Linked DNA regions of Pelodiscus sinensis. The protein of the gene in region 1 interacts with the protein of each later gene in a pairwise test. Links are inferred from orthologs where the notes say so. Each region holds a gene or a part of one and is shown on either strand. Other genes may lie near its edges. The genes, in order: DAB1, MBNL1 and CLASRP.

What was found.
Region 2: the proteins of DAB1 (region 1) and MBNL1 interact in binary tests that used the Homo sapiens proteins (3 or more experiments, as listed by UniProt). The link is inferred for Pelodiscus sinensis from reciprocal best matches to the Homo sapiens genes DAB1 and MBNL1.
Region 3: the proteins of DAB1 (region 1) and CLASRP interact in a two-hybrid assay, tested with the Homo sapiens proteins (2 studies listed by BioGRID and IntAct). The link is inferred for Pelodiscus sinensis from reciprocal best matches to the Homo sapiens genes DAB1 and CLASRP.

What each region holds. Positions count from the first base shown.
Region 1 is NC_134719.1:13,961,595-13,971,356, forward strand, and holds the start of DAB1 (disabled homolog 1), read right to left. Parts: upstream 4,452-9,762; 5' UTR 4,133-4,451; intron 1-4,132. UniProt on the Homo sapiens protein: Signaling adapter of the reelin-mediated signaling pathway, which regulates the migration and differentiation of postmitotic neurons during brain development.
Region 2 is NC_134720.1:27,566,191-27,576,558, reverse strand, and holds the start of MBNL1 (muscleblind-like protein 1), read right to left. Parts: upstream 3,888-10,368; 5' UTR 3,632-3,887; intron 1-3,631. UniProt on the Homo sapiens protein: Mediates pre-mRNA alternative splicing regulation. Acts either as activator or repressor of splicing on specific pre-mRNA targets. Inhibits cardiac troponin-T (TNNT2) pre-mRNA exon inclusion but induces insulin receptor (IR) pre-mRNA exon inclusion in muscle.
Region 3 is NC_134743.1:2,244,581-2,254,222, reverse strand, and holds the start of CLASRP (CLK4-associating serine/arginine rich protein), read right to left. Parts: upstream 4,768-9,642; 5' UTR 4,721-4,767; intron 3,384-4,720; 5' UTR 3,275-3,383; intron 1-3,274. UniProt on the Homo sapiens protein: Probably functions as an alternative splicing regulator. May regulate the mRNA splicing of genes such as CLK1. May act by regulating members of the CLK kinase family.

The DNA.
Region 1 (9,762 bases):
ATAGCATAATGACATTATATAAATCCCTGGTATAACAACACCTTTAATACTGCATGTGGTTCTGGTTACCCCATCTCAAAAATATAATGGAATTGGAAAAAGTATGGCGAAAGGCAACAAAAAGCAGCTAGAAGTATGGAACTTCTCCTCAGATGGAAGCCACTTAAAAAGACCGGGAGTTTTCATTTTGGAACAGAGATAACTATGGGAGTATAACAGAGTTCTATAAAAAGAAATCATGAATAGTGTAGAGAAAGTGAATGAGAAACTATTTTTACTCCTTTACTAGTTCTTCCTTTATATAGGAATTCTTTAAATTAATTTTTAGTGGGTTTAAAACAAAACACAACAACTTATAGTCAAGCCTGTAGAACTTCTTGTCTGAGGATACTGTGAAGGCCACAAATTAACTGGATTAAACACAGAACCAGATAAGTTCCTGGATGATAGGTCGGTCAATGGCTATTAGCTAAGATGGTCATGGATCAGCCCTATTTTCTGTTTCCCTAGCCTTTGACTACCAGAAGGCGGACATGGACAACAGAGGATGGATCACTCAATAGTTACTTTGCTCTGCTCATTCCCTCTGAAGCACCTGGTATTCCCTGCTGTTGGAAGGCAGAATACTGGGCTAGATGGACCACTGGTCTGACCCACTGTGATCATTCTTATAGTTGTGTGTAGCGCTGAAAGGCAGAACTGAACCTGGACCTCTGGAGTTTCATGCATGAGCCTCTACAGTTAGAATTACTCACATGCAAATTGATAGAAAATGAACATTACTACAGTTACTGAAGCCCTGGATTAAAGGTAAATAGTAAATATATTAATCAAATCTGGCTCACAGAGGTAACATTTCAACTCTCCGTCAGCTTGCTAGAACTTATCATTACATATATAAAATAAGAGCCCTTAGTATCACTCTGCAATAAATACCTGTCAAACAGATGTCACTCTGAGCAATGCCACCTTCCCCAATTATCACCCCTAATATCATTATCTCAGAGACACTAACCTACCCCCTTCACCCTCCCTCTGTTCTAAAATCAGATTTGTCAATTTTATATGTGTTCACTTTTTTTGATTGCATCCCTTTGGTATATATGGTCATGCCAATTTTCCTCCACAATTTGACCTGAGGAAGTGGGTCTGGCCCACAAAAGCTCATCACCTAATAAACCATCCTGTTAGTCTTTAAAGTGCTGCATAGTCCTGTCTTTTGTTTCAGCAAGACCAGACTAACACAGCTACAGCTCTATTACTCTCTAATCAATGAGAGGATCTTTTCTGAAAAGGTTTATGTGGAGCAATGTTTGGTTCACACAAGCATTTGACTGATCTGGCCACTTGGGACAAATTACATATATAGTCGAACTTAAGTGTCGCAGGACCTCAGCAGGTTGTTCATAACTCTGAACAAAAAGTTATGGTTGTTTTTTCAAAAGTTAGTTGAAATTAACTTCATGCAGGTTTGAAATGTAGTATGTAGAAGAAATACACTGCTTTTAACCATCTTAAGCGAAACAAGCACAGAAATAGTCACCCTGCTTGTCAATTCCTTAAAAAAATAGTTTATATTTAAACACAGTACTCGTCTGCATTTGCCTTTTTTGCAGGAGTGGTGGTGGGCTGCCTCGGTTGCAGCCTGATGGCATCTTTCCAGTTCCAAATGAGGTGGACCAGTCAGTTTAGATCTCTGGTGTTCCTAACACTGAGGTTCTACTATAGGAGATTTCTGCTTCTTGTTTGGAACAAATTGGATTGTTCTGCTTCATCTCTACAGTTTTTACATTATTAAAATAAAGATTCATTTGTTAAAAAAAAAAAAAAAAAAAAAAAAAAAAAAAAAACCACCACCACCAATGAAATGAAAATACAAGCTGCAATTACAGAGAAGAAAACAAACTCCCTTCACCTCCACTCAAAAACAGAGTTTTAGCACTGAAGTTAATTGGCTTAGTCCTGCAACTGTTCTTTACACTTCAAAATTATGAAGTATGGATGTGGTATGAGATTGCTTAACTGCATGTACTTGCCTATATCATGACTGACTTCGATGCCACAGCCCAATGAAAGCACTAGCCACCATGCAGTTTGCCTCAGAATAAATCTTAATTAGCTCATAAATTGCTACTGCAATAATCCCTTTGGAATCTTTTCTTTCATTCCAAGTTTTCTTCTCTCCTCCCCCCCACCCCATTTTGTTACATTATAGAAACATAATAAAACAACATAGAGAAGAAAATGTTGTTATGTACCACTGTTCATCAGAAAATAGACACTACACTTCATTGACAATCAAGCATAGACATCACTGTCAACCTATTTTTAAAAAGGCTGTAGGACCTGTTGCACCAAAAAAAAGGGGGGGGGAGTGGAGGGGGCAATATTTGTTTTTCTTTCACTTTAGACATGGGTTTTAGATATCTGCCTGGCATAAAAGCTCCAAGAAGCTTACACAACGTGGGGGAGGGCACGGGGACTTCAATTCAGCCTAGATTGTTTAAATCCAATGTTATTATTTCCCCCAGAATTACTTAAGTCTATTGAAGATGAAGCTGCAGTGTTGGAGGGTTATTTGCTCCAAGGACCTTTTTAATATGGCTGTATTGTAATACTGCAGTGCAAAAACCTCTCTAGTCATAAAGAGAAATTTATCTCAGAAGCAGAACTTGTGACCACTGAAAAATGCATTTGCTTCAATTTTCACTCATTTAATAATGGTGTTACTTAACAAGATCAGTTAAAATGACTGTCCTCAAAAGGCATAACACTGTAACCTCCTCTTCTGAGACTCCTAGGGCACTGAAGTAAAATTCATTTGTCTAAACCAAATAACCAAAGCAAGCAGTGGCATTACAAAGAGTATATTTAAAAAAGAGAAAAATCTTTCGTGACAGACAAGAAAATAGCTTCCTGCTTCCCACCCCCTTTGTTTTAAAACTAACTAAAATACATATTTCACTGCAGAAGGAAAATGAATTGTCCCTTTACAAGTGATAAAGCATTTGGCATCTCACTTTGATTTTTATCTTGAATTAAGGGGGGGGGAAAAAACCACTGAATCTGCACACATTAGGAAGGAGCTATTGAAGTCTGGGTGCATACTGTAGCACATTACTAGTCAAATCCCATATACTCATGCATAATTATTTTCCTACAAGGTTATGCCTAATTGGCCACTAACCCAATTGATTAATCATCTCAATTTTAAGGAGGCATCAAGAAGCAGTCTGAAAAGCAGCAAAATATTTATTTAGGTACAAATACAAAACCAATCTGTAACAGCTGGTTCTAGTTTCTCCTATTAGGATGTACACACATAGGTAGGCAGACAGAAAAAGAATGTTAGAGGGTCATTTAATCTGAAAATCAACAAGCCTGGTGTTCTGAAAACAGTCTCTAAAGTAAATTGTTAGTTTCCAGCAATGGAAGTGTTAGAGGAGCCTCTCTGTCATGTTCAAAATAATTTAAGCAGACATATAATTCTCATTTCCACCTAGGCATAATAAAATGCACATTTCCTTGAGTCTTAACCCTTATGGTACAAGGCAGGGCATAAATCCCATACATTCATACTTCAGTTTCCATCCAGGAATCAGTCCCCTGCACTGATTGCAAATTGCTGTGTGACAAACACCAGCGTTTTGACAGGTCTTTGAGTGAAAAACAAAACTTTGAGTTAAAGCCCATTTATTTCTCCCCCTTTAAAGTGAATAGGAACCAGGCACCCAAGTGCAATTGGCAAAGGCACTAATGAGAGGCTACATTATGCACACTGGTTAAAGCAAAGCCTTTCTGACCATGACTTTTCTAGATCTCTCCCCCCCCCCCCCCCCCCCCCGCCAAACACACCCACCGGCAGCTTTTAGGTTTAAAAAGCAAAAAACCCTTTGGACATGTAGGGGCAGATCCACTGGCAGGATCTAAAAAGCAGGTTCTGTGGACTAGGATACTAACATACTGGAAGGTCCAGAAATAAATACAGGCAATTCAAGCACCTTGGAGGGAGGAGGGTGAAATATCACGATATGAAATTGGACACTGACAAGACACCGGAATCTGTCTAGACCGCCTCCCCTGAGCCCCCCGTTCCTTCTTTACTGCAATCAAACGAAACACCTTCTCCTACCTTGAACCAGTGCTGCTCCCTGATCAGCCCCCCACTCATCCTCTTGTGGCAGGAAAAAGGCTCCCCCCTCGTGCTGTCAGTTCTTTCCCCCAGGGGGGCTCTGTGGGTCTGCCTGTGGGCAGTAGATCCCTGGAAACGAACGACTTGGCAATGGGTATCCCAGTGAGCAAATCCTCAGCAGTTTCAGTTCAGTGAGAGCACCTCAGTCACGGCAGCAGAAGCAACAGCAGCAGAGGCAGTGCTGGTACTCTGCAGGCCACATCGTTCATACCTTATACATCACTACCACATTTCTCCTAATACTGGAGCCCGACAGCATTTCACCGCCTGGTGTCTAACGCGTGCACTTGGCTTTGCTGTGCCGGAACACATTTGTGCGAGTGCCCTTAATGATTCCCTGGGTCTCTGTCTCATCAGCAGACTATTTGTGGCTCAGCAGGCACAGCAAATAAACAGGCAACCACCTGGAGGGGGCACTTACACCCTTCATTAGGATATGCCACCTAAAGGTATCAAAAGTCACCTGAGGGGACCAGGTGAGCCTAATTCATCACACTGGAACAAATTCAGCAGTCTCAGCGTTCCACTAAGTACAATGAGCTTTGCATGCAAAGGGAGAAACTGACCCTTACTGTGTCCAGAGCCTAAAATAGCTGGGGTAATACTGCTCACTTACAACACCCTGTATGTCCTACCCAGGACTCGTTATTAATCACTCTCTAGTCACACACTCTTCCATCTTGTTCCTTGCACCTGTATACAAGTGTTGCATAATTTTAATTCCTGTGTTCTGGGACATTCTGTGGCTTTACAGGGTATTTTCCACATCAGGAAAAGACAGTGTCACATGGTTTTGCTTTTAACCCTAGATTGATAATACCCTATCTAGTGCTCATCACCTTCCTTTCTCAGTGCCTTGCAAGAAGGCATAATGCCAGCAAAATGGAACAATTTATCTCACCCTTAACCTGGAGCATGTATTAAGAGGAATTTTTTTGTTCCCTTCCTCCAGCATTATCCATTGGCTTAATCCATTTCCCCACTGCCCTTTACACTCATACACCTTCCTCTACTCTCCACTCTTTCTTCTTCACCATTCTCACCCCCTCGCCAGAAAGCAGTAGTTATTGAGGGAAAGCTATGGAACAAAGATGGACTTTACATCACACATTTTCCTGAAAGTGGCAAGGTTAATGCAGATTAGAATGATGACCAAAGTGTTTTATTCCCCAGGGCCAGAGATGGAGGATGCAAAATCTTTTGTGACACACCCCCAGTTGGCCAGGCACTCTGTCCCCAGCTCAGGTTATCTGGAACCCTGATAAGGACTGACAAGCCTGCTATGGTCTTGGCTAACAAAACTGGGTCTTCTAGCTGAGGCAGTAGAGGTTCATGGTCTCAAAGTCAGAAATCCCAACTTCGATCCTTGTTGCCAGTGACCCAGAGGTAGGTGGGCATGGATTTAGATTTTACTGACAGTATCATGTTTTTTCTTCGGTCATTTCTGCTTAGCCATCTGATTGTGTTTCCTGCTCTCCCTGTGGTTTGGGGGCATGCTGGTCCCTTACTGTAACTACTAGTAAATCCATTCTGAGAAATGAAAGCGTCTGCAGCTGCAATACATTTCTGAGTTACTACTTATAGCACAGTCAGGCAGAACATTCCCTTTATCCACAACCTGTTTCTACATATTTCACTTAACTCTGACCTCAAGTAAATCCCACTTTTTCCATGTGTGGGGGGGAGGGGGGCTGGCAGGCAAAAATGGTTAAAAAAGGAAACTGATCAGGAGAGTACAAATTTCCTATTCTTCTTTCCATTCACACTCAAAAGTCTTGCTATAGGCTGAAACAAACAGTAAAATTAATCTCTGGTAGGATACAAACTGTTACCATAAATACACATGACTAAATGGTGAGCTTGAAAAGGGCACGACTAAGACATGCACATTGGAGATTTTTGCTAATTCTAGGAGATCACGCTTGTAATATGTAGAAAATGTGAGAATTAAACTGCTTTGTATATTTCTTGATCTTCAGAGCATGGCTGGTTGCTGAACCCCTTAGAAAAGAGAGAGAGAGAGAGAGAGCGTATGCATTAACCTTCCAGGAGGGGTTAATAGTGGGCACTGAATGCAGTGGATTATAACAGGGTTGTTAGCCTTATGTAACCATGAGCCAACACACGTGACCAAGGCCAGGAGAAAAAGGTTCCATCTCTTATCAGTACTCCTCTGTCACATATGTAATACAGGAGGAATAGCTCTTCCTGCTTTATAGACTTCTTGGATGCACACCTTAAGCCATCGTGACAATGGATGGCTCAGAGATCCTGTTACCCTTAACTGCTGACTGATAAAGGACAAATAAAGCTGTTGAATGTCTTATTGATTGTGTGTAATTGAGATATAACTTTATTGCCCTTCTCACATTGTGTTTATGCCATTCCATTACTTGTGGGTGCTTTGGATTAGGTCAGAATGGTGGTAGTGATATTTCCTGGATATAAATGTTAACTCAGAGGACAAAGACTTGATCTATGTTGACACCCACCAGGTCTTTGTGAAAGATACATTTCTTGAACATCTGTAAAAAGAATCTCCCAATCAGATATCCTTTCTGCCAAAATTAGTGTCTAGAAGGGATAAGAAACATGAAATTGCACTTAAAGTCTCAAAAGAAAGGGTCCTTGTAGCTTAGAATACCCAAATTAGCTTCCTGCTGGAAAATCTATCAAATACTAAAGCAGTGGAATTAAATCAGAACTGTGGTCTTGTGGTTAAAACTGTGAATTAAGACTCTAAATATGTGGGTTTAGGTCCCAGTTCTAAGCCGCACTTTCCCCACTAGGATCCTTGGCAATGTGTTCTCTTTACCTCATTTCTACTGTGGGAATAATAATTATTTGCTGCCTTTAAGGCTGTTGTGAGGATAAATTCATGTGTATGTGGTGGGAGAGTTCAGATAGTATGACAATACAGTCATATAAACAGATGAATAAATGGTAGTTTTATGAGTATTTGGAGCAATACATTTTCGGTTCCTTTTACCAGGAACACTTGCAATACCAGACAGACAATTGTTTAGTATATTCAGATTCAAACCTAGGGAACAGGTATTTTAGATCCTGTACAATTTCAGATGTATGTTGACATCAATACTGAAATTTCAGCCAGGTTTCATTGTAGCTTAGCCCTGTGGATTTCCTTCCTTTCACTTTGCAAATCCTCCACTAACCCCTGCCAAATACCACCTCTAAATCTCTGTCTCAGGTCTATAGAATCAGCTTTAGTTAGGCCAAGTTTAGATGCACATTTAGGATCTGAACAAGAAAGGTGACATGAATAGGCAGGTGCATTTGCAAAAACGGTCATCAGTTATGCTTGTATATTGATGTCCCACAAACATGCCTTTGATACAGATTTGGAGGCGAGAGGTAGCCATAACCCCCAAAGCCACTGGTAGAGAGTAGTCAGTCACCAACAAGGAGAGTAATGAAATCTGACGTCCTTTAAACTTTTCTTCAAGGAAAGGGCTGCCGTATCTGCACAGCAGTTCACATGACACAGCTGGAGCTGATAGAGGAAACATCATGCCTAGGTTTGCAGATTCAGTTATGTCTTTAAGAGCACACTTTCAACTGCAGGTTTCACCATATCTTTCACCAGGGAAGCTATTGCTGCACTAACGCATCATTGCTTAACTCCCAAGTGACGGCAGACATACGAGGTGGGCCTTGTCTTATCTCCCTGATAATGCCTGGCAGTGATCGAAAGATGAGGAAAGGCTGCATAAAAGAAATGCTGGAAAAACTCAACCTACACAAAGCAGAGGGTGTTTCATTAGCAATGACTAAAGCTGAATGCAGGTTAAGTGAAACAAGTGGAAACATGCAGTGCTGCCCACATCCCAGCCTAATGCCAACAGGTCAGTTCCCCAATGCCATGTCCATAACAGTCCCTCCAGAGAACAAAGGCCCACTGACTCCTGTTCCACAAAGATACAGCTACCCTGTTTTTATAAACACAAGAAACAAATAGACACCCAGGTCCCCAGCCCGTACCCCTTTTGGCATGTGCAAGTATGGCCAATTGTAATCAGCTTAATCTGTGGTATTGTCTTTGAAATGTTTGGTTTCCTCAACATGCAGTCATACCAGTAGTGACCTATCTGATGCCCTGTTACCTGTCTGTGTCCAGCAGATTAGCTTTCCTCCTTCCCTGTGGGGTTGGCCACCACCTGGCTCTGTGTCTCAGTGCTGAAATGACCTGTTTCCCTGAAGGCCCACAAATGCTTCCTGTTCCTTCTGGTCACTTGTCTCTTGTGTGGTAACCTTGCAGGGGCAGGCATTGCTTTTCCAAACTGCCATCCTGGCCCCGCCCATTCTCTGCCCCCAGAACACCTACTGTAGGCATACTGGGGGCAGAGTGTTGCTGTCCCCGAGCGCTCACCCTCCCCATACTCTGGGGGCAGGGAGGCAGGAGCCACCCCACCTCCCCGTAGTGCTGGTGGAGGGGTGGCTTCACTACCATGGGGGCAGGGCTAGGGGCTTTCTCCCCTAGCCCTATCTTCACCCACCACCCATGTTTTTCATGATTTGTGCACCACTGCTCCCTCATGAACATCTGTAATCTGTTCCTTCTGGTGTCGCTCTAATTACTGGCGCCTCTCAGAAAGGTCTATCCTGGGACCAGTAAGTGCTTGGCTGACATGTCTAGTGACTGTGTTGCCAGATACTTGGCCACCTCTGGGCTGTGTCCCCATCCTTCTAGACCCCCTCAATGGCAAAAATGTTTTGGTTCTTCCTCCTATCAGTGCCTATGCTGGACTGAACTGTTCTGACAATCCTGTAATGGGGTCACAATGGGTCTGAGCCACAAGAAAAAACCTAGTATAACACTAAGGCAGGGGTGGGGAATTTTTTTTTCCTTTGGTTCAGAGCCGTTGACTCTCAGAAAAATCAGTTTGAAGCTGCGTACAAGAATTAAACAAACAAACCCTCACTGATGTGGCCCCTAACTGAGAAGAAACTCCCCACATTCCCTTCACACACCTGAGCCTAGAGGGGGCCCAGGATAATAGATTTTGTGTGCTCCATCCCGACAGGCAGGGGAGGGGTTGGAGTGCCAGTGCAGGTTCCCCAGTGCCAGATGTGGATCCCTGAGCTTCAGAGGCCAGATCCAGGCAAGTTAGGGACTGCATCTGGTCCCCGGGCCTTAGGTTCCTGACCCTTCGTCTAAGGCCATGTCTGCATCAAATAGTTTTCAGTGACACAGCCATGTTGCTACAAGTGGGATAGTGTAGCCACTGTTTGCTGGCACTTTTGCCGACAAAATATTTCTATTCCCACCCCCCGCACCCCCGAGCACATTGGCTTTGTCTTCAGGAGAGTGCTCATGCTGACGCAGCATTGTTTACATGAGCACTTGCTGTGGCAAAACTTTTGGGGATGGGGACGTAGCATCTGTGAATGACAAAAACTGTCATTCAATTGCCAGTGTAGACATAGCCTTAGCTGTTTTTAACTGTTTATTCTACTTAGTCCACAGGTGGGCAAAGAGCAGCCCCATGGCCAGACCCAGTCCTCCAGGGTTAGGTCCTGGTGGGCCCCCACCACTATATTTACCAGAG
Region 2 (10,368 bases), on another chromosome or scaffold:
AGTGCGGCTCCCCTCCTGCAGGCTGGCCAGCTCGCTTGCATTAGGCTCTACATTCCCCCTGCTGACAGCAGGTATGTGCAATTACCTTAAAGTAGCGTATATAACCCTCAGGTTATACATGTCCACAGGTTCTCTAAAACTTTTTTTACTCATTCAGGAAAAACCGTGAGTTATGCATGTGTGCGGGTTATACACGAGTGCGGGTTATATACACTAATTTACAGTTCTAGGAACTTTAGGAAGAGCAGTTATGAAGCAGGTTCCTGCTCCTAAGATACTAGATATTCTAAATGTCTCATTGCCCAATGGTATAAGAATCCCCTATTATTACCTAAGGTCAGGCCCACCAACAAGGGGGAGCAACTGTCCTGGGGCCCGGTGATACAAAAGGCCCAGAGCTCCCAGCTGATATCACCACTAGTGCAACAGCAGCCACAGCCCTAAGCCCTTTAAAACACTGCTGGAGTGCTATGCAGCACGTTCCGGGCAGCCCTGAGGACTGCCTGAGGAAGGTGCAGCCCTCTCCAGGTGGCACTGAGGGTTGCCTATCCCCACTCCCACCCCTTTGGGGGAGCAGATCAGCCCCCCTGCAGCTTGCCCAGGGGCCCAGTGAGGATGTCGGACCCATTGTCTAAGATAGGTGTGAAATAAAATGTGGATATGAGATCACATCCCTTGCAGAAGAGGAAATATTATAGTGAACCTGCTGGCTCAGTACAGTAGACTTCCGATAATCCGGAACCTATGGGACCTAGGTGGTGCCGGATTATCAAATATGCCGGACTATCAGGAGGTACTATAAGCTGGTTATATATATATACTGTATACATTATATACTGTTTATAAAGTGTTCTTAACCCTTTTTATTGTACATACTGTATACAGTATACTGTAATGTTTTAGTTTTTTTAAGCCTTTTTTACCCTTTTTGCGCAGTTCAGCTGCTGCCGCTGTTACCTTGTGACTCATTTTTTGCAGAAGCTCACTCACTAGGCTCTTGCCATTTTGATGCTGGACTATCAGGAGTGCCAGACTATTGGAGTTTTACTGTACTCACTAACCACTTTCTCCCACCCCTAGTCTCACCTAATCAACTTTAAAGTGATCTCAAGGGAAAAGATTGAGCCACAATTCATTCTGGGAAGAGCATAATATTAGGGAACAAGATAAAAATGCATTTCAGTATTCTCTTTGTAACTTCAAATTTCTCTCAACAATTGTAGAAAAAAGAACTCATTCGTGCACAATTTGGTAATGTCTATTGCAGAAGTACTATATATATATATATATATATATATGATATTTAGATTTTTGGCTCAGGAATTCATGTCTTCAGAAAAGCTGCATGTTTTCTGTCAGAAAATTGTAAACTTTAGTGCATAAAGCAATCCTTCTGATTTTTTGAAAACATGTCTCAACATTCCTTTTTTCAAAACTGTATCATACAAGCAGTCATGGGTGTAGCCTTGTGATGGTTTATATGCAATAGCTGGGCCTCTCTATGGCATAAAATCAGAAATTAGTAGCAAAGCTTCCCTACAAATCCTGGCTATTTCTAATACTTTATATATATATACACACACGTATAAATGAATATATACACACGCACTCAGTGGTGGACAAATTCTGCTACTCTTCCTTGCATCTTGTTGAATTTTATTGCGCAAGGAGTCTTACTGAGATTCCTTCAATACAGTTTCTTTTACTTCTGGGGATTCCGTTTCCCATGACTTTCTGGAGCACAGGAGACCTCTGTCTCTTGAGGTCATGCTCAGGATAACCCTCCCTGGTTTAGCTCAAAAGCTTTGTTTACTGATAATATGTAAAGTAAACCAGTATTCTTTTGTCTAGGACAGACTTATTGATCATCTTTATCTAGGATAGCCTATTTGGTCTTCAACATGTTCTAGTAGCATGAATGATACAGAGGAAATTCCTAACTTCACATACAGTGTTAACAATTGTAGTTTAATATAGTGTTATTAATTATATTAATAACCAGAGTATTATTAATGCAGCATATTGCATGTTTTGTACAAATCACAATGATATTTTGTGTTCACAAAAATCAACATACAGCCTGTTCTAATTTGCCATTATTTGTCAGACTTTGTTGAAGCAGAGTATACAAGTTACTAAAAATCCAAACTAAAAGTTTCATGATCCTTGCTAAGCTATTTGTCCAACTCTCATAATTTCTCATAAGTTCTTTATTGATTTCACAGAAAGAAACCCCTAAAACATTTAAAAATTGTTAGTACAGTGTGAATGCTTTAATGAAGAACGTCTGTTCCTAGGTTTTGACAACAAATTCTGTAGTTTTATAGGTTGGACTACAGAATTAAAAGAGATTTCTAGTTCTTTGCGAGTTATCACAATACGCATTTTAATAAAGCAAATACAAATCTTTCAACTTTCACTTACACTGTACTATGCTTTTTTGGAAGACCTGTGCAAACGGTAATTTTTTTAAAATAATCAAATATTTATCTTTGTGTCCACTAGTTTACACACATATAAATAAGCCAAGTGCATAATTATGATATACTCTATGTACCACCTGTGAAGGTGGTTTCTTTATTATTCTTTAATTAGTAATAGAATTCTGCTGTCAGAAACGGGCAGGGGTCTACTTTCATTTAATTTGACTTCTGATCTCGAGTAGTACAGGAGTTCAGCCCAGGTGGACTCTGACTTCATTCCAACTCGGTATTTAATCATCAAACACCACTGGGACATTCATTGGCAATGAAATATTTCATACCAGAAAGCCAGGAGCTCAGGTTCCAGGGGATTAATGTCTTTTTATTTTATAGTACATTTTACAAATGCACTTGGAACAATATCTACATTTCACATCAGCTCCTGCTCCTCTTATTCCTGACAGTTAATCTTGGGGTCAACAGGAACGGTGAGCAGAATTTAGCCCCCTTATGAACAGGAGGAATAAAATAACCCTACAATAATACCTAAAGGCAGCTGTGCTCTCATCCTAAATATAAAACTATATTCCAAATACTACTACAGTATTAAATAGTAAAAGTGGAAAACTATTGTGAAAAAGTCAGCACACCAATTTAAACACATCAGAACACTTACTTAGAGTTACAGAGATGTAAGAGAAAAGGGAGACAAAAATAATGCCCAGTGAAAAAGCCACCTAAATGGTTTCTTGTTTGTTTGTTTGAAGCCGGGATCCTTCAGTCAGATCATACAGTGCCCGTCTAGAACCCCAAAAGGACTCTGTGTAGGTGCAGTGACCAGTTTGAAGGAATCCACAAGAGTAGGACTTCATTTTCAAATTGTGTTTGGAAAATATAATTTCAACTTGTGTTTGGAAAATATAATTTCAACACATTATCCACCAGTACTAATCTAAAAATGAACATACGCTTTAGTGATAGTTTTCACACCAAAAAAAAGTTTCCTTGCAAAATGGAGAGTCCCAATTTCCTGTCTCTGTAATAAAATATTATTTAAATCTTCAGTCATTCAATATAAATCACCAAGATAAAAAATAACAAAGTTCCAATGAAACAGTCCAGCTTCCAGAATAACTTACTAGATAGTTTTACATATTTCTAATGTCAACTTACACAATCAAACAAGTAGGAGAAACTTCAGTTCTTACCTGTTCTGCCTCAAGTGTAGGTTTGGTGTTAAAACTGCTTAAGTAATACGGTGACACAGCCGCCGCCACCACCTTGAAGAGCTCTGTTCTGCTGTATACTCTGGGCTAATTACAACATTCTTTCTTCGCAGTAGAAGGATGGTGGCCTAACTAAAGGGGAAATAGTGAAAGGCCAGAATAATTATGCTTTCCAAACCCTATAGGTTTAAGAATGTGAAATAAGCGAATCACATTAGCATACAGTAGTAACCATGGCAACAGGCTGTGGTTTGCATATGTATTTTTAAAGAACCAAAAATTACTTCCACCTATTAAAAAAAAGACATGAGAGGAAGTACTTTTGTATTTCAAGCCACATCCCTAATTGAAGCAACTACTGTAACTTACCATCTTCAGCTCACATTAAAAGAATGAACTATTGGTTCTATGTTTTAAAATCTACCAATTAAAAGTGTTCAGCATAAGGCCTAACTGCTAATCTGACAACTGACATCTGGTGTAAAAGATAGACTGGCCCTGCCTGGCAAGACGATCTACAAGTTCCTGGAAACTTGGTGGTGGTGGTGGCGGGGGGAGGGGTTGTTTGTTTTTTGTTCTTAGGTCTTATACTTCCTTCCTTCTGAAGACTTGTCTGTTAGCAACCGATAAAGCCTCACAAAACTGAAACTCCTACTATCTGCAACCCTGCTTCAGCCACCAACATCACAGGGCAGGTGCAAAGTCTTAAATATGACAGACTTTTGTAGGCAAGATATAGTAAAACCTCCTTTGTTATTTGTATTACAGCTACTACAGTCTTTGGGCTTCCTGCACACGACAGCTTACTTCCATTGCAAACATTTGTATAGCTGCCACATTTCAGACATTAGAGAATTAGTTGAGTAAACTAATCATCACTCTTATGAATTCACTTCTGGAATTCTACAAGACTTCCACAAATAGATGAACAACAGCCTAATTAATTACTGGAGTTAACAAAATAAATGCTTCAACTATTCAGTCTAAAAATATGGAGTTAAGTGAAAACTTCTTTGTAAACGTGTGCAAATATTTATACAGGCAATCTAATTTCTTGGGCACTAAGTAGGTTTATAAAACTAGACTTTTTGAGACAGAATTAAATTCCAAAGTGCAAGGGAGACGGGATTTTATCTAAAATGGTGAGGCTACGTCGAGTACCAGGGCAAGAATACACAGTACAGGTTGAACCTCCCAAATCTGGGATTCTGTGTTCCAGCAACATCCGTAGTCTGGCACAGATGTTGCTAGACCAAAGAGCCCCAGGAGAGGGAGCTGCCAAGAGAACATGGGGCCTGAGAAGTCCCCAGCTGGGCCAGCAGCAGCTAGACAGGGGAACCCCCAGTATCAGTGGGGTCAGGTGTCCGGACAGTCCCTGACAGCAGAGCCGGTGGTGGCTGGGGAACCCCAGGAAACCCTCGGTGGCAGTGGGGCCGTGGCAGCGGGGCCAGCAGCAGCTGAGTGGTCCGGGCTAGGAAACACCGAGGAACTGCGAGAGATAACAGGGCTGGTGGTGGCCAGTAGGCCCTTGCTGGGGAATCCCTGGGAAACCCCAATGCAGCCAGTGGGCAGCAGGGCAGGAAGCCTCAGCCAGGCCAGCTTTAGTGGGGCAGCGACACGGCAGGAAGCCCCAGCCTTGGGAGCCCCAGGGAGAAGAGCTGTCAACAGGGCAGCCAGCAGGGAAGTCTTGACCTCCTGTAGTCCAGCAAATTCCCTGGTCTGGGACAGCTCGGGTCCCGAGGGTGCTGGACCAAGCAGGTCCACCCTGTACACTAAACAATCACTCTCATGACAGAACCAGATTAGGGTTGCCAGGTGTCCAGTTTTGAACTGGACAGTCCAGTATTTGAGCTTTCTGTTCAGGAAACAAATTGAGAAAATATAAATGAGAAAATAGAAATGTCCGGTATTTTCTAAATAAGATGTAATATAGATTGTGATGTAATGTCAAGTGTGTCCGGTATTTTTGTTGAAACCATTTGGCAAACCTAAACCAGAGGTTGGCCTCCTATGGCAAAATCTGAAGGGAGGCATTGTGAAATGGTGGGGTAGTTCTTGCTAAATTTCTCCTTGTGTGGCTCTCCTTGCTACATTTCTTCAACATTCTCCTATCCAGTAGAAGGGGCTTATGTCCCTGCAGAGATAGGTGAAAGGATCTGCTTGCAGATAGCAACACAGGAAAGCAGAAGTCCACTGTATGGATCCCGGAATCCTCTTTGTCAACTGCTCTGTACAACTTAGGTCCTTTATTAATCACACTTCCAGGGATGGAGTCTCCCTTTCTTCCACAGCTGCACAGTCTCCCCGGGGGTTCTCGTAGCCACTGAGAGGGGTTAGTATTGCTTATAGCAACATTAACTCTAGAGTAGATAAGTGTTTTCATTGTTGAAATGCCCCAGGCTGGTAAAGGAACAGCTCACATTGCTGTTCTACAGCTTCATGTCCATTGACACACATACCCTCTCCTATCTGGAGATCCAAATGCCAGCAATTGCTTCTGTGAATTAAGCCAGAGAATCCACTCCAGATGTGCCTTTTTGTCCTTCTCCTCCCAGATATGGGGAGCATAGCTTCATCCTATATTCACTAGTTTCTTTTTAATCATAGTGTTCAGAATAATAATGCTTTCAGGTTTTAGCATATAAGAAAACAGAGAAATTTCTACAAGTTTAAGGTTAAGAATAGTCATGATTTGGCTGTCCTTAGCTAGGGGCAAAAGAAGAGGAGAAGCAGAGAACTCATCCTTGCAGCAAGCAGCATTAGCCACAACCTGAATAGGTAAGGCAAGGCTTAATTTAAGATAGCACTGGTGGGGCACTAGATGACACAAAGATAGACAAGAGGCTCCTCTATAGAGTGGCCATCATTAGTGCAGGCCAAATACTTTCAATGGATGTACTCCCCCAAAGGCCCTGGAAAGATTATAACAAGTACATCCTGAATTCCTCTCGGGAGTCCTGCGGTGTCATCTCATTCTCCTACCTCCACCATCTGGCCACATTTTATATATTATACTTTAGCATATTTTTTATCCACCTGAATTCCCACGATGAACTATTATTCTTCATACATTTTCAGTGCTACATTGAATTCTTTCATTTTCTACAAATAATCATAATATTATAGCTCTACAAATGACAATATCAGTAAAACAGATTCACGGAAATGTAGGAGGAAGGAACTTCAATTGGTTACTGTGGGAAGGAAGCAGCATACTCCACCTAACAGTTAGGGCCAAAGACAGCAGTTACTCCCAAAGGTTCACCTCTAGCACCCAGTTAGTTCAGTCCTCAAACAAGCAACTCTGCCTAGTGTGTTCAGTGCTCAATGGGTAGAGGAACCTGGGTCCCTTTTCACAGGCTTCTGACCCAGGGTGCTGGGAAGCTAGTTCCACTACACTTACTATGCAGGGCCTTGTGTCAACCTCCCTAGGTCACCTCCTACCTCCCACAATATCTCGGCTGGCCATCCCTGGGGAGTGCTGCCTTCCAGGCTTCTTGTCCTGGTACTAGTCTTTAGTTCCATGGTTCCCCCATTCCCTGAATTAGTATGGCACCTCGCCACATCTGCTCTGGAGCTCCCAAAACATATCCTTCTCTCTGGCCTGCCAGACCATCCAAGCCATCTGGCTGCCTTTTGAATCTCACCTATAACCTGTGCATGCTCTGAGCCCAATTCTCCTGAGCCCAGAATTGCTCCTTAATCCCTTCCTTCCCCCTGAAGGGTTCATATACCCTATCACAGTCATCTAGTCCAGTCCTTTGCACTGAAGAAGGACTAAGTATTATGTAGGCCATCCCTGACAGGTGTTTGTCTAACCTGTTCTTAAAAGCCTCCAGAGACAGATTCCATAGCCTTCACAGATAATTTGTTCCACTGCTTAACCATCTTTACATTTAAGAAGGTTTTTTCCTAATGTGTAACCTAAATCTCCCTTGCTGCATAAAAAGGCCCATTACTTCTTGTAGTTGATAAGAAGAACAATTTATATCACTATACACCTAGGCAAAATATATTAAGTATGATCAATAGAGTTCTAAGCCAGAAGCCTTTTAGGTAATAATGTGAAAATGGAACTAGCCAAAAATCACTTAGAGTTTGACAGCTTTTGCTATCAAGTGAAAACAGCATAAGCTTTGACAATGGTGCCAAAGTTCTGATCCTATTGCATTCTAGAGTGTAGAGATGGCTGGATCTCTGCATCCTTGAATAGCTCTGAAGATGCTTAGCACTACTACACATACCCTAAAGTAGAAAACACTTCCTGCAGTCACAGAAGGATGGGCTTGTGACTGAGACTGAGACATCTAGTTCTATTCTTCATTCTGCCACAAACCTCCAATGTAACCTTGGGCAGATCAATTCTCTCTGTGCGCCAGTGTCCCATAAAACAGAAATAATAAAAACTCATTCATTTTGCTAGGCTTTCCTAATTACACTGTGCTCATGATGTAAGTGTTTCTAACTAAGGGTTTGTACAGTGCCTAGCATAACAGGGCTTTAAGCCGGAACTCCTTAATTGCTATCACACAAATATATTATTCATCATCATAGGCAACTGCATAACCACTATGTGGCTGCCAAATCATAGCCTCTGTCTACAGGCTCTTGAAAACAATAACTAGAAGACCTTGTATGTGCTTGGTCAGCATGGCTGGATATAAGGGACTTGCACTTGGAACGTAACTCCAAAACAGAGCCATCACCTGTGTCAGGCAAATGGGACATCAGGCTAAAGTTCCTTTACCCCTCCAGGGATACCATGGAGGTGAGCAGAGTGTACATGAGGCTGGACCCCTACTAGTCCCGGAAGACTGGCTTAAGGTACGCAACTGCAGCTAAGTAAATAATATAGCTGGAGTCGACATACCTTAAGCGAAGCTTGGGGCCGTCTCCAAAGCAGGAGGTTGATGGGAGCAAATGCTCCCTTCGGCTTTTCTTACTCCTTGCGAATTGAGGCATACTGATGCCGACAAGGGGTACCCTCAGCGTTTGATTTAGTGGATCCTTATTAGACTCGCTAAATCGAACGCCAGAAAAATCAATCTCCAGTGCAGCAAGTGGAGACATGACCTAGAGACAACTAGAGAGAGAGGCATGGCTATTACAGAGATAGTAGAGAAGGAAACAGATGCCTAGATCTCTTCCTTCAAACATCCCAGTTCACAAAGGTGGGATTTTTTTAGTAGCAGCATATGGACCTATTTGTTTTTCAGATATCTTGTGTCATGTACAGTAGCGCTCCACTTAATCGTTGTGGATTTAAGGTAACATAATAAATGGAATTTTCGCATGAAAATCCATAATATACTTCAAATTCTTCTTGCCATGCAGACATGTCCTCATACCAAAACATGATCTCTTGGCAGAATGTATTGACTGAAACCTGTTCTTTTTTAAATAATTTGGTTTATTTGCAATAACGAGTCATTTTGCTACAAGGGATCACTAAATCCATTCTCTGTGATTAGAAAAATTCAGTTCATCCAGGTATTTTATTAACAGGAATCTTCAGTATTGGCTACAGTAAAGAAAATTTACAGGGTTCCAGACTGATATGGCATTGAATAAAACTGTCCAGTAACTGAAAATAATAAATAATAAGTAATAATAATAATAATAAAAAGTCTGCAGGACTTCACTGTGGCTATGGCAAATTCACCTTAGTTACACTGGGGCACATTAGTAACAGACTCACACATTTAGTCATTCATATGAGACACCAGATTTTTCATTCATATGAGCAGACCTGAGATCCAAGATATAAGCAGAGGGCCAAAAATACAAGCTATAAGACATGTTACCTCCATTGGAATATTTCTTTCTTCCCTTTGAGCTCACAGATGCAGTGCCTTGGGGGTGCACATGGGGAAGGGATCACATCTGTGATATTAATGATTATTTGTGCAAATCCCCACCGTGCTGTGGAAATAGCCTGGCAGGGTATGTGGGGATGTCCCAAGGAGTTTCCAAAAGAGTGAGTCCACAGAAGAACAGGAGAAATCAGGAACGAATCACCTCCAATAAACTCCATGAGGTCTCATTTCCATGTGGTCCCTTTTTTAACCCTTTGCAGGTGGTTTGAAGCATTCATAGAGTATTTTGAATGCTCGGAATGCTTTATTTCAAGTACCTATCATCAAGGAATTATATGTAGTGTGTGTAGTAGAAATAAAATAGGCTTTTTCACACAATGGATTTATAATAAATGTTTGCTCTTATTTCATAGGTAGAGGGGTTTAACTGAATATTCTGAAAAGATTTTGTGTCCAAGTCAATGGTTTCTTTAGGAGATGGGAGGGTCAAAGTACTAGATTGTTGGCATCTAGTATTACGTTTTCATATTTCGCCGTAGAAAATAAGGCAATGCTTTATAAAACTGGCATCCATCAAGGTTACAAAGCCAAATAAACACAATTAAAGCTATACATAGTCACACTGACAATGTTAGGATCTCTTAAAGAAGACTGATAAAAAACCATTGGAGTTGCATTGTGATGTAATGATCAGAGCTCGAGACTAGGAGTTAGCAATCCTGGTTTTGGTTCCTTGCGCCGCCAAACTTGTGTCTTCAAGCAAATAAAAAAAAACAAAAACCCAACCCTCCTCTCCGTCTCAGTTTATTGATGTTTATAACAGATTATGTTAAGTCTTTCTTATTTAAATTGTGAGACAATTATTTAAGTGAAACACGTAGCGCTCCCTTACTTATTACATTT
Region 3 (9,642 bases), on another chromosome or scaffold:
AGGTTGGGCTGTCGCTCTGAGGAGTCTGCTCTAAGCATAAGCTTATCAGACAGTTAAGTAGTGACGTGACTACAGGCAGCTCCCGACTTGCAATGCGATCGGTTCCTGGGGAAGCGTTGCAAGGCGGGAGCGCTGTAACTTGAACCCTCATTTACGATAGGCATTGTGCTTCATCGTAAATGTGGGCTGAGGACGTAAGTTGGGGGGTTTTGGCTCCTTCCGCACTTACAAAAATGGTTAAGTGCGGGAGTCGCAACTCAGGCGGTCACATCTTGGGGGTTTCCTGAAGTCACTCCCCCCCACCTTACTTCCTGTGGGTCTCTTGTACATTTCAAAGGCTGAAATGCTGCAGTGGGAATGTGGGGCCAGCAGGCCTATCAGAGGAAGGGGGGAGGGGGGAATAGGGCAGGCTGCTGAGAAGCAGCCCCTATACGCAGCAGCCAAGGCTGGCTGTGGAAAGAGGCTACTGCTGGAACAGGCACTGCCCGCGGCCAGCTGTGGCCACTGTGAACAGAGGATGCTTAGGTACTGGCCTCTGTTTGTGGCGGACAGGGCTGGCCGCCATGAACAGGGTCCGCTGGACTCAAGTGAGAGCCAGGACCATGCAGTCCCAGCTTGCGCTGATTGCTGCGCCTCTATTTTAAATGCAATAAGAGCCCAGCGACTCTTACTACATTTAAAATGCAGAGCCTCAGCGTGGGTGGCTCCTGGAGCCAGCATGAGCCTGATAACCACATTTTAGTATCCTTAGTTACGCTTTATGATTCTAGCTACTTCGTTGCGTGTCTTGGCTTTTCTAATTTTGTCCCTCCATATATCTGATGTTTGTTTATATTCATTTCTTATACTCTGACCGAGTTTCCATTTTTTGTATTACTTTTTTTTAAATTTCAGATCACTGAAAATCTCTTGGTAAAGACAGGGTGGTCTCTTGCCCTGCCTCCTATCTTTCCTATGCAGTAGGCTAGTTTGCACTTGTCGCCTTAACATCTCTTTGAAAAATAACAACAAATAATAAAACGCATCATGAAGGCAACAGAGTTGATGGAAATGAGTGTTTAGAAATTGAAATTAACACATCTGAGGTGGAACATAATCTTAAAGAGCTTAACGCTCTCAAATCAGTGGGACTGGATAGTTTCCCTCCCATAATACTGCAAGAACTGGCAGGTGAATTAGTTAATCTGGCAGCAGGAATTTTTATTAACTGCATGTACGCATGGATAGCATCATAGAGCAAGAAAATGGCTAACATTTTATCTATATTTGAGAAAGGAAAAAATTCTGGACAACTACAGACCTGTTAGTCTGACTTCAATAGAATGTGCATCTTTGAATTATGAAGCAAACAATCATTAAATTCCTAGAGGCAAACGGAGAAGGGGATGTAATGCAATATGGGTTCCCAAAGGTAGATCATGCCCAACTAATCTGAAAACTTTCATTGAGAAAATAATCCATTTTTAGATAAGAGAACTGAAGTAGATTTAATTTACCTAAGCCTCAATAAAGCACATGATAATTTCCTGTTTGGTACAGTATTAGTAAAATTAAGGAAGACAGGCATCAGTACTAGGGCTGCTAGCATTTAAGCTGATGTTTATCAGTTATTGTTATCGATTAAACTGCCCTGCTTCTAGGGAGGTGGCTTTGCTGTGGCAGCAAAGCCGCTTCCCCGGGAACAGAGCTGGCAGCTCCGCTAATGGGGGAGGCTTCACTGTGGGCTCTTGTAGCATGAAGCCTATTTAAGATTTATACTGCAGAGATCGCAGCACATGTAACCACTACAATTTTTGGCGGTTACCTTTATTAAACAACTTTTAAATATCCCTAATCAGTACAAGCATTGGCTAAGGAACTGGCTAGAGGGGCGAAGACAATGGCATGTGCTGAAAAACCAACTATCTGACTGAAAGAAAATTATTAGCTGCGTTCCTCAAAGATTTGTCTTGACATCAACACTACTGAATACCTTTATTAATTCAGGTCTTAGAGGGGTAGCCATCTTAGTCTGAATCTACAAAAACAAGGAGTCCTTTGGCACCCTGAAGATTAACAGATTGATTTAGACATAAGCTTTCGTGAGTAAAAAGCGCTTTGTCAAATGTATCTATGTATCTGACAATTTTTTTTTTCCACTAGGGATGTTACATTTTGTTTAATCAGGTAATCAAGTAGTCAATGGAATTCTCTGGCCCCAGGACCTAACCCGGCTGTGGTTCTGCTTTTTAAACATAGGAACAGCTGCCTCGCTCTTACTACATTTAAAAGGCAGAGGCACAGCGGGGACCAGGCATGAGCTCGGACAGCTGATTCCTGGCTCACGCCTGGTCCCCCACTGTGCTTTTAAGTCAGCTCCCCCAAGCATTGGCTCCTGCTCCCCCACCTTGCTGCCTCTGTTAGGGGCGGGGGGGGGGGGGGCCTAGTTAAGTAGCCAGTTACATACCTATTTTTTATCCACAAAAGTTTATGCCCAAGTCAATCTGTTAGTGTTTAAGGTACCACAGGACTCCTCGTTGTTATTCATCCATTCCAATACCAAAACGGACCACTGCGACCATAACCTGACATCTTATAAAACAAAGGGCAGAGAACTTCCCTAAAATAATACCCAGAGCAGATTTTTGAGAAAAACAGCCACCCTTGATTTAATAATTACTACTGATGGAGATCCACAATCCTTGATAAATTGTACTATTGGCTAATTACTCTCACTGTAAAAAATTAAAACCTTATTTCTTATCTCAATTTTTCTAGCTTCAGCTTTCAGGCACTGGATCATGTTATACCTTGGACTGCTAGACTTAAGTGCCCATTATTAAATTTTTTGTTCCCCATATAAACATAGACTGTGATCACGTCACCCTTTAACCTTCTCTGTTGTAATAAATCAATTATGCTCCTTGAGGATACTTTCTAATCCCTCAACTGTTTGAGGCTTCTCTCTGTACCTTTCCTGATTTATCAACATCCTTCTTGAATTGCGGGCACCAGACCTGGATACAGGATTCCAGCAATGTACACCAGTACCACAGAGGTAAAAACTTCTCTACTCCTATTTCACATTTCCCTGCCTGTATGGTCCAGCAATGCATTTGCTCTTTTGGCCATAACATCACACTGTAAGGTCATGTTCAGTTGATTAGCTCACACAACACCCCAATCCTTTTCAAAGTAAGTGCTTTCCAGGACAATCTCTCCCAAGCATATGCCTGACCATGTTCCAAGGTACAATCCTTATTGAAAACTGAAGTAAAACATTTTAGGAACATACCTAGATTACCTTTAGTCTTCTCCCCATTCACACCGCACAGTGACCCACTCGCTGTCTTCCTTGTTCTTTTATTTGTATCAGCAGCTCTCAATCAGGAGTCTGAGGCTCCCTGGGGGAGGGGGAAGGGGTCACAAGCAGCTTTCAGTGGGTCCACCAACAATTGGGGCATTAGACTCAAAGGGCCCCAAGGCACAAAGTTGAAACCCTACCTCTGAGGGCTGAAGCCAAAGTCTGCGAATTGGTTTGGAGCCCTGAGCAACCACCTGCTTGCTACCCCTTAATGCCAGCCTGGCTTTTACATGCAGAAAAACAATTGTGGCCCAGCTGTGACAAAAAAAAGTTTGTCTAGTGGGGGGAGAGCTAAGAAAAAAGAATGAGCATCCATTTTATATAATTGCACAAAGCTCCATCCTACACCAAGAGGGGAGATGCCTAAATTGCTGCTCAGATATGCAGCAGTCTATTAAGCACTGCAGAGGTGCTCAGGGCTGCGGCAGGGATGCCTCTTTCCCCTGGCCCCAGCACAGCCCAGTCCTGCTGCTGAGAAAAGTCGCCCAGCTCCAACCTAGACCTGCAACAGACAGGGTGGGAGAGGAGGAGGGGATGCCTAGGTTTTCCAGGGCCAGCAGAGAAACACCTATCCTGCAGCCCCAGCTCTAGAGCTGCTGCAGCGGAGTGGCATTTCTCCTCCTAGCCCAGGAGCTGCTGATGAGGGGAGAGAAAACTAAGGGTGAAATCCTCTCTCCCCACCATAACCTCAGGGAAACCGGCACCCAAAAGTCCTCATCTCTGCCCCCACAATCTGCCTGACCCCGCGCTCCTCCAACCCCCTGCTCCAGCCCTGAGCCCCTCATCCCCACTCCTCCTCCCAGGACCTCAACCCTCTGACCCAGGGCTCAGCCCCCCTCCAATAATGTTGTGAGGTGCGCCAAGGGGGAGGTGTGATGTGTTCACGTCACCTCCACATCTGTGTGCCTAAAAGACGCGCTCTGCACACTCCGGGGGAAACGAGAAGGAATAATGGGCCGTGCCCAGCTACTGCCCCCCAGACCCTGCCTGCCCCACACGGGGGGGAGGGGCCGTGCCCAGCTACCACCCCCCCAGACCCTGCCCACCCCACACGGGGGGAGGGGCCGTGCCCAGCTACCACCCCCCCAGACCCTGCCTGCCCCACACGGGGGGAGGGGCCGTGCCCAGCTACCGCCCCCCAGACCCTGCCTGCCCCACACGGGGGGAGGGGCCGTGCCCAGCTACCGCCCCCCAGACCCTGCCTGCCCCACACGGGGGGAGGGGCCGTGCCCAGCTACCGCCCCCCCAGACCCTGCCCACCCCACACGGGGGGAGGGGCCGTGCCCAGCTACCGCCCCCCAGACCCTGCCTGCCCCACACGGGGGGGAGGGGCCGTGCCCAGCTACCGCCCCCCAGACCCACACGGGAGCTTCCTACCAGCGGCGCCCTCCATCACTCACCGGAGTGGGGGGGGCGGGGCACAGCCGCTGCCCCGGAACCGGAAAGGCGAAAGCGTCACCGCCCCGCCGGCGGGTGCCGATCACGTGACTGGATTACCTCAGCCAATGGCGGCCCGTCCGCTCGCGGCGGGCGGGGCAAAGGGGGGGGGGGTTCTGCAGCGCGGCCACGTGGCGGGAGCGCGGGCCGGGCCCTGTGTGAGACGATGGGGGGGGTGGAGGCGCTGCTGCCCCCCCCCCCCAATGAGCAACTGCGGAGTGTGCTGGGGGTGCACGTTGGCACTCAGCACAGACACGTTATTCTGCACTGGGGTGGGGAAAGCAGAGGGGACATTGCACCCCCCCCCCCGGGACATCCCCCCCGCACCCCCCCCCCCGGGACATCCCCCCCCCGCACCCCCCCCAGCGTTCCCTGTAAGCTGTGCGCTTGGGTCACCCGCAGCGAGCAGCACGTTTCTACTGGTGAACGGCTGCACGTGCTTCCCTGCACATCACATTTATTCTGCTAACATGGCGCATGGGCATGTACTTGGCAGAGTTCACCCCCATCCCGACACCTGCCCCTTCTGCAGCACGAGGGAGAACCTGGCGCACACCTACCCAGAATGCATCAGGTTGCAGCCCCTTTTCCAGCTCCTGAACCTCTTGCTGAGTGTGTGGGTGCACTTTGCCTCACTCCTTTTTATTTATGCACAGCCCACCCAGCGTCCCCACAAAGTCGTGAGTCCTTGTCAACCTCCTCTTGGCCCTGGCAAAAGCCGCTATATACGATACCAGCAGAAGGATGCTAGATGAGAGGGTGCTCTGCGACTGTGGGGCCTACTTCTGCTCCTACCTAGTCTCACACATCCAGGCAGAGTTCCTCTGGGCAGCGTCCACTGGCTCTGTGGATAGCTTCGAGGAGCAGACCCCGTCTGAGGTTCTCTGCTCTGTATCACTATCCAGTTCCCTCATTTTAAACCTTTGACTACACCCCAACCCTGGTTTTCATCATTTGTCCCCCATAATCAACTGAACCCTGGGTCCAGTTGTCCTTCCTGCAAGGCTGGGGCTCCCCCTAACATAGGGGAACCGGTGCTGATGCTCCAGCCGCCCGCCTAACACTCACGGGGCTGGAGCACACAACATCTCCTCTCTTAGGCCCCTCCCTCCGAAGGCTCTGGTGTGCGAGGGGAATGTGGATAATGTCTTTCTCATTTGGGGGGGCTGCCTCAATGAGGGTTTGGGGGGTTGCTTCTCACTTGTGTGTGGCCCCCCACTGATTTTTCTGTGGGGCAGCAGCCCTCAGCCCGAAAAAGGTTCCCCACCTTGTGCTACACCTTTAATCTATGGATCAGAGTGATTCCGCTGCTCCGTAAGGGTTTCTCTAAAGCAGGCCCTGGCTGTAGTACACAGACAGTCCCTTTCCAAACCAGGAGCTGGAGAGATTGGGTTTGGAGGGAGAATTTGCCTCTGCTCTGAGAGAATGTGTCTGGCGGACTGGAGCCTTGTGGCCAGTGTATTCGGTCTGTGAGACAACGCTGATGCCGCAAGTATTACTGCAGCCACATCCTGCTTGTGCTTTCCTATGACCCTGGATATCAGGGGAATGACATACAGGAGGCCTTGAGACCAGGAAAATGGGAGAAGTACTCTGGAGGGAGCCAGTTAGTTAGTGACAGACATGGGCGATCTCCTCTGTGGAACACAGGGTCCAGAGCAGAGACCCTTGTGGGACTAGTGAGAACTGCAATTGAGGTAACCCACAGGCCTGTTTCTTCCCACAGCTCGTACTCTGGGTTACAATCTCTAAGCAACTAGCAGAGGTGCCTCAGCCTCCCCTTTCATCAAGAGCCCAGGTAACTTCCTCAGAAGTAGCATTCCTCTTTCTGAGATCCGCAGGGCGGCCCATGCCTTCCCCGTGCATTAACCTAGGATCTGATTCCTGGTTGTGATGCCAGATGTGGGGGATCCTTGTTTAGTCAGCTCTGAAATATTGGGTACTCTAAAAGGGTACAGCTTGCTCAGGAAGGGAAGGCGGGGAGGGGGAGGAAAGGGAGGAGGTGTTGCCTTGTGTATCAAATTTATAAACACTTGCACTGAGATTTAGGCAGAAGTGTGGGGGGAGGCAGAACTTTTGAAAGTTTCTAGGTAAAGATATAAGGGTAAAAAACCAAGAGTGATGTCATGGTAAGGGTGCATTGTAGACCACCTCGCTAGGAGGAAAAATAGATGAACTAGGATTTCCCCTAGCTCCCAAACAAATATTAGGAAGGTACTAGCTAGTTGCTAGGGTGAACGCCACGTGACAAGGACTCCCATAAAGAGCAAGTACTTTCCATAGAGTTACTGTGGTTCTAGCTGCTTTATCAGTGGGAAGCCACTACTCACCCTTCTCTGCTTGAACTGGGTTTGATACTCAAAGGCTGTGTCTACACTGGCAAGTTATTCCGGAAAATCAGCCACTTTTCCGGGAAAACTTGCCAGCTGTCTACACTGGCCACTTGAATTTCCAGAAAAGCGCTGACGATCTAATGTAAAATCATCAGTGCTTTTCCGGAAAAACTATGCTGCTCCCGTTCAGGCAAAAGTCTTTTTCCGGAAAACTGTTCCGGAAAAGGGCCAGTGTAGACAGCACAATAGTGTTTTCTGCAAAAAAGCCCCGATCGCGAAAATGACGATCGGGGCTTTTTTGCGGAAAAGCGCGTCTAGATTGGCCACAGACGCTTTTCCACAAAAAGTGCTTTTCCGGAAAAGCGTCCTGCCAATCTAGACACGCTTTTCCGAAAATGCTTTTAACGGAAAACTTTTCCGTTAAAAGCATTTCTGGAAAATCATGCCAGTGTAGACGTAGCCAAAAGGTTTTCTCCTGCAGCCCACAGCTAGAACAGCAACGTGCAACCAAGGCTAGTGACTGGGCCACATGAGTGACCCTCCGTCACCTCAGTGGGCCGCAAGATTATCGTAACCAAGACGGTCTCCTAGAACAGGGCAGTTTGCTCATAGTGCTTGTGTACCTAGAATTTGCAGGGTGTGCCAATGGGACCATGGCAGCGCTGTGATTGGCTGCAGCGGGAGCACCCGGCTCTCACAGTGTGTGGGGGCACCAATGGGACCATGGCAGCACTGTGATTGGCTGCAGTGAGCACACAGGCCACAAGTTGCCCACCACTGGTCTAGATACCCAGGGAAGACAAAGTGGCTCTAGAGACTCTGGAAGGAGCCGGAGCCAGAGCCAGAGGATGGATTGCTCCAGCTGGCAGAGTGTTGGCCACTACTAAGACCGGCCAGCCACTTAGGGGGAAGGGCTACATCTCGCTCCCACAGCCAGAAAAGGGAGCAAGAGGCAGGCAGAGCGAGTGGGAGTAGGAGCACATTCAAGGGGCTAGTGCTGCTCCAACCGCTGCTGGTCAAACCAGAGACACATGAACTGTCAGTAAAATCCCCCTGGACTGACACAGAAGAACTCCAGGCTGCCGGGCACCAGGAAGTCGAGGCTGCAAGAAGCGGGTGATGGGTGGCAGCTGGAGAGGCCAGGAGGCACTGGTTTCCCCAGAGCAAGGGTTCCCAAACTTTTTGACACGGGGACCAGTAAATCCATTCACAAATTTTTGGAGGACCAGTAATGGTCATTTGCATATTTGCATATTCATTAATCAAATGATGAATATTCAAATAAGTTATTTCTGGTCCTCCCAAAACCCCCAGTGCCAGCTTTAGCAAAGCTTTTGATATGGTCACCCATAATATTCTTGCAAGTTAAGGAATATGGATTGGATAAATGGACTGTAAGACAGACAGAAAGCTGGTTAGACCAGGGTTTCCCAAACTTTTTACTTTAGTTGGAACCCTTTTTTTTCCAGTACTGTTTTTTGCAGCCCAAAAATATAAACACATAAAAAACAAACTGAGAAAATACCAGACATATAACAGGTCTGGTATTTTCTCATTAGGCAAATTTTATTATTACTAGATGTATCAGTTTGTAGTTTCAAACTGCCTGGCTGGTAAATGTGCTCAGGCTGCATGAGTGTGTCTACCAGCCAGTTCGCAAGTACTCGAGGGTGTGTGTGTGTGGGGGGGGGGGGGAACAATAGAATCCCCGGGTTGGACTAACTTGTGCTTTGCGGGGGGGGGGGGGGGGGGGGGGGGAGAAGGGGGGCAGCGCCCGAGAGCTGCATATGACTGGGTCAGTCTCGCTCCCTGCCAGCTGATTCGCTCCCCACCCTCCGCCTCTGGCCAGCCCCACTTCCCCCAACCCCCTCCCGGACAGCCAGTTTCCCCCCCCCCCCCCCCCCCCGCTTCTTCTCCCAATCTCCCTTGGCCAGCCCAGCTGCCTGCTTCTAGCCCTGCTTCCTGCAGCTGCTTCTGCCCCCCTCCCCCATCTTCCCCAGCCAGCTCCCTACCCCCGACCTCGTGCCCCTCGGCAGCCCTGCTTCCACCGGCTCCCCAATCTCCCCGTCCCGTCCCACCCCGATTCCCCCGTCCAGTACTGCTTCCGGTGGCCGGCTCTCCCCTCCTCCTCCTCCCGCCGCCCTCCCCTAGCTAGGACTCTGCCGGGAACTGGAACATCTGGCTGCAGACTCCGCCCAGGCCAGCTTGGGGGACCCGACCCCACACGGGCACTCCGGGAGCACAGAACACCCCGGCAACCATGCTGAGGCCCGGTAGTTTTTTCCTGCGGCCCGCTATGGGGCCGTGGCCCATAGTTTGGGAAACGGTGCCCCAGAGTATGGGGAGCAGACCCTCGACTGGCTCTGAGGGTGGAGTGCCCCCTAGCGTTAACTTAGGGTTAAGGGTACGGACCTTAGCTAATATAGATACACTCCCCTGGCAATGATGCAACTTAGCCTCTGTTAGCGTCCAGCCGCAACAGCACAAGTCTCTCTAAGGCTACGTCTAGTCTGCAAGCCTCTTTCGAAA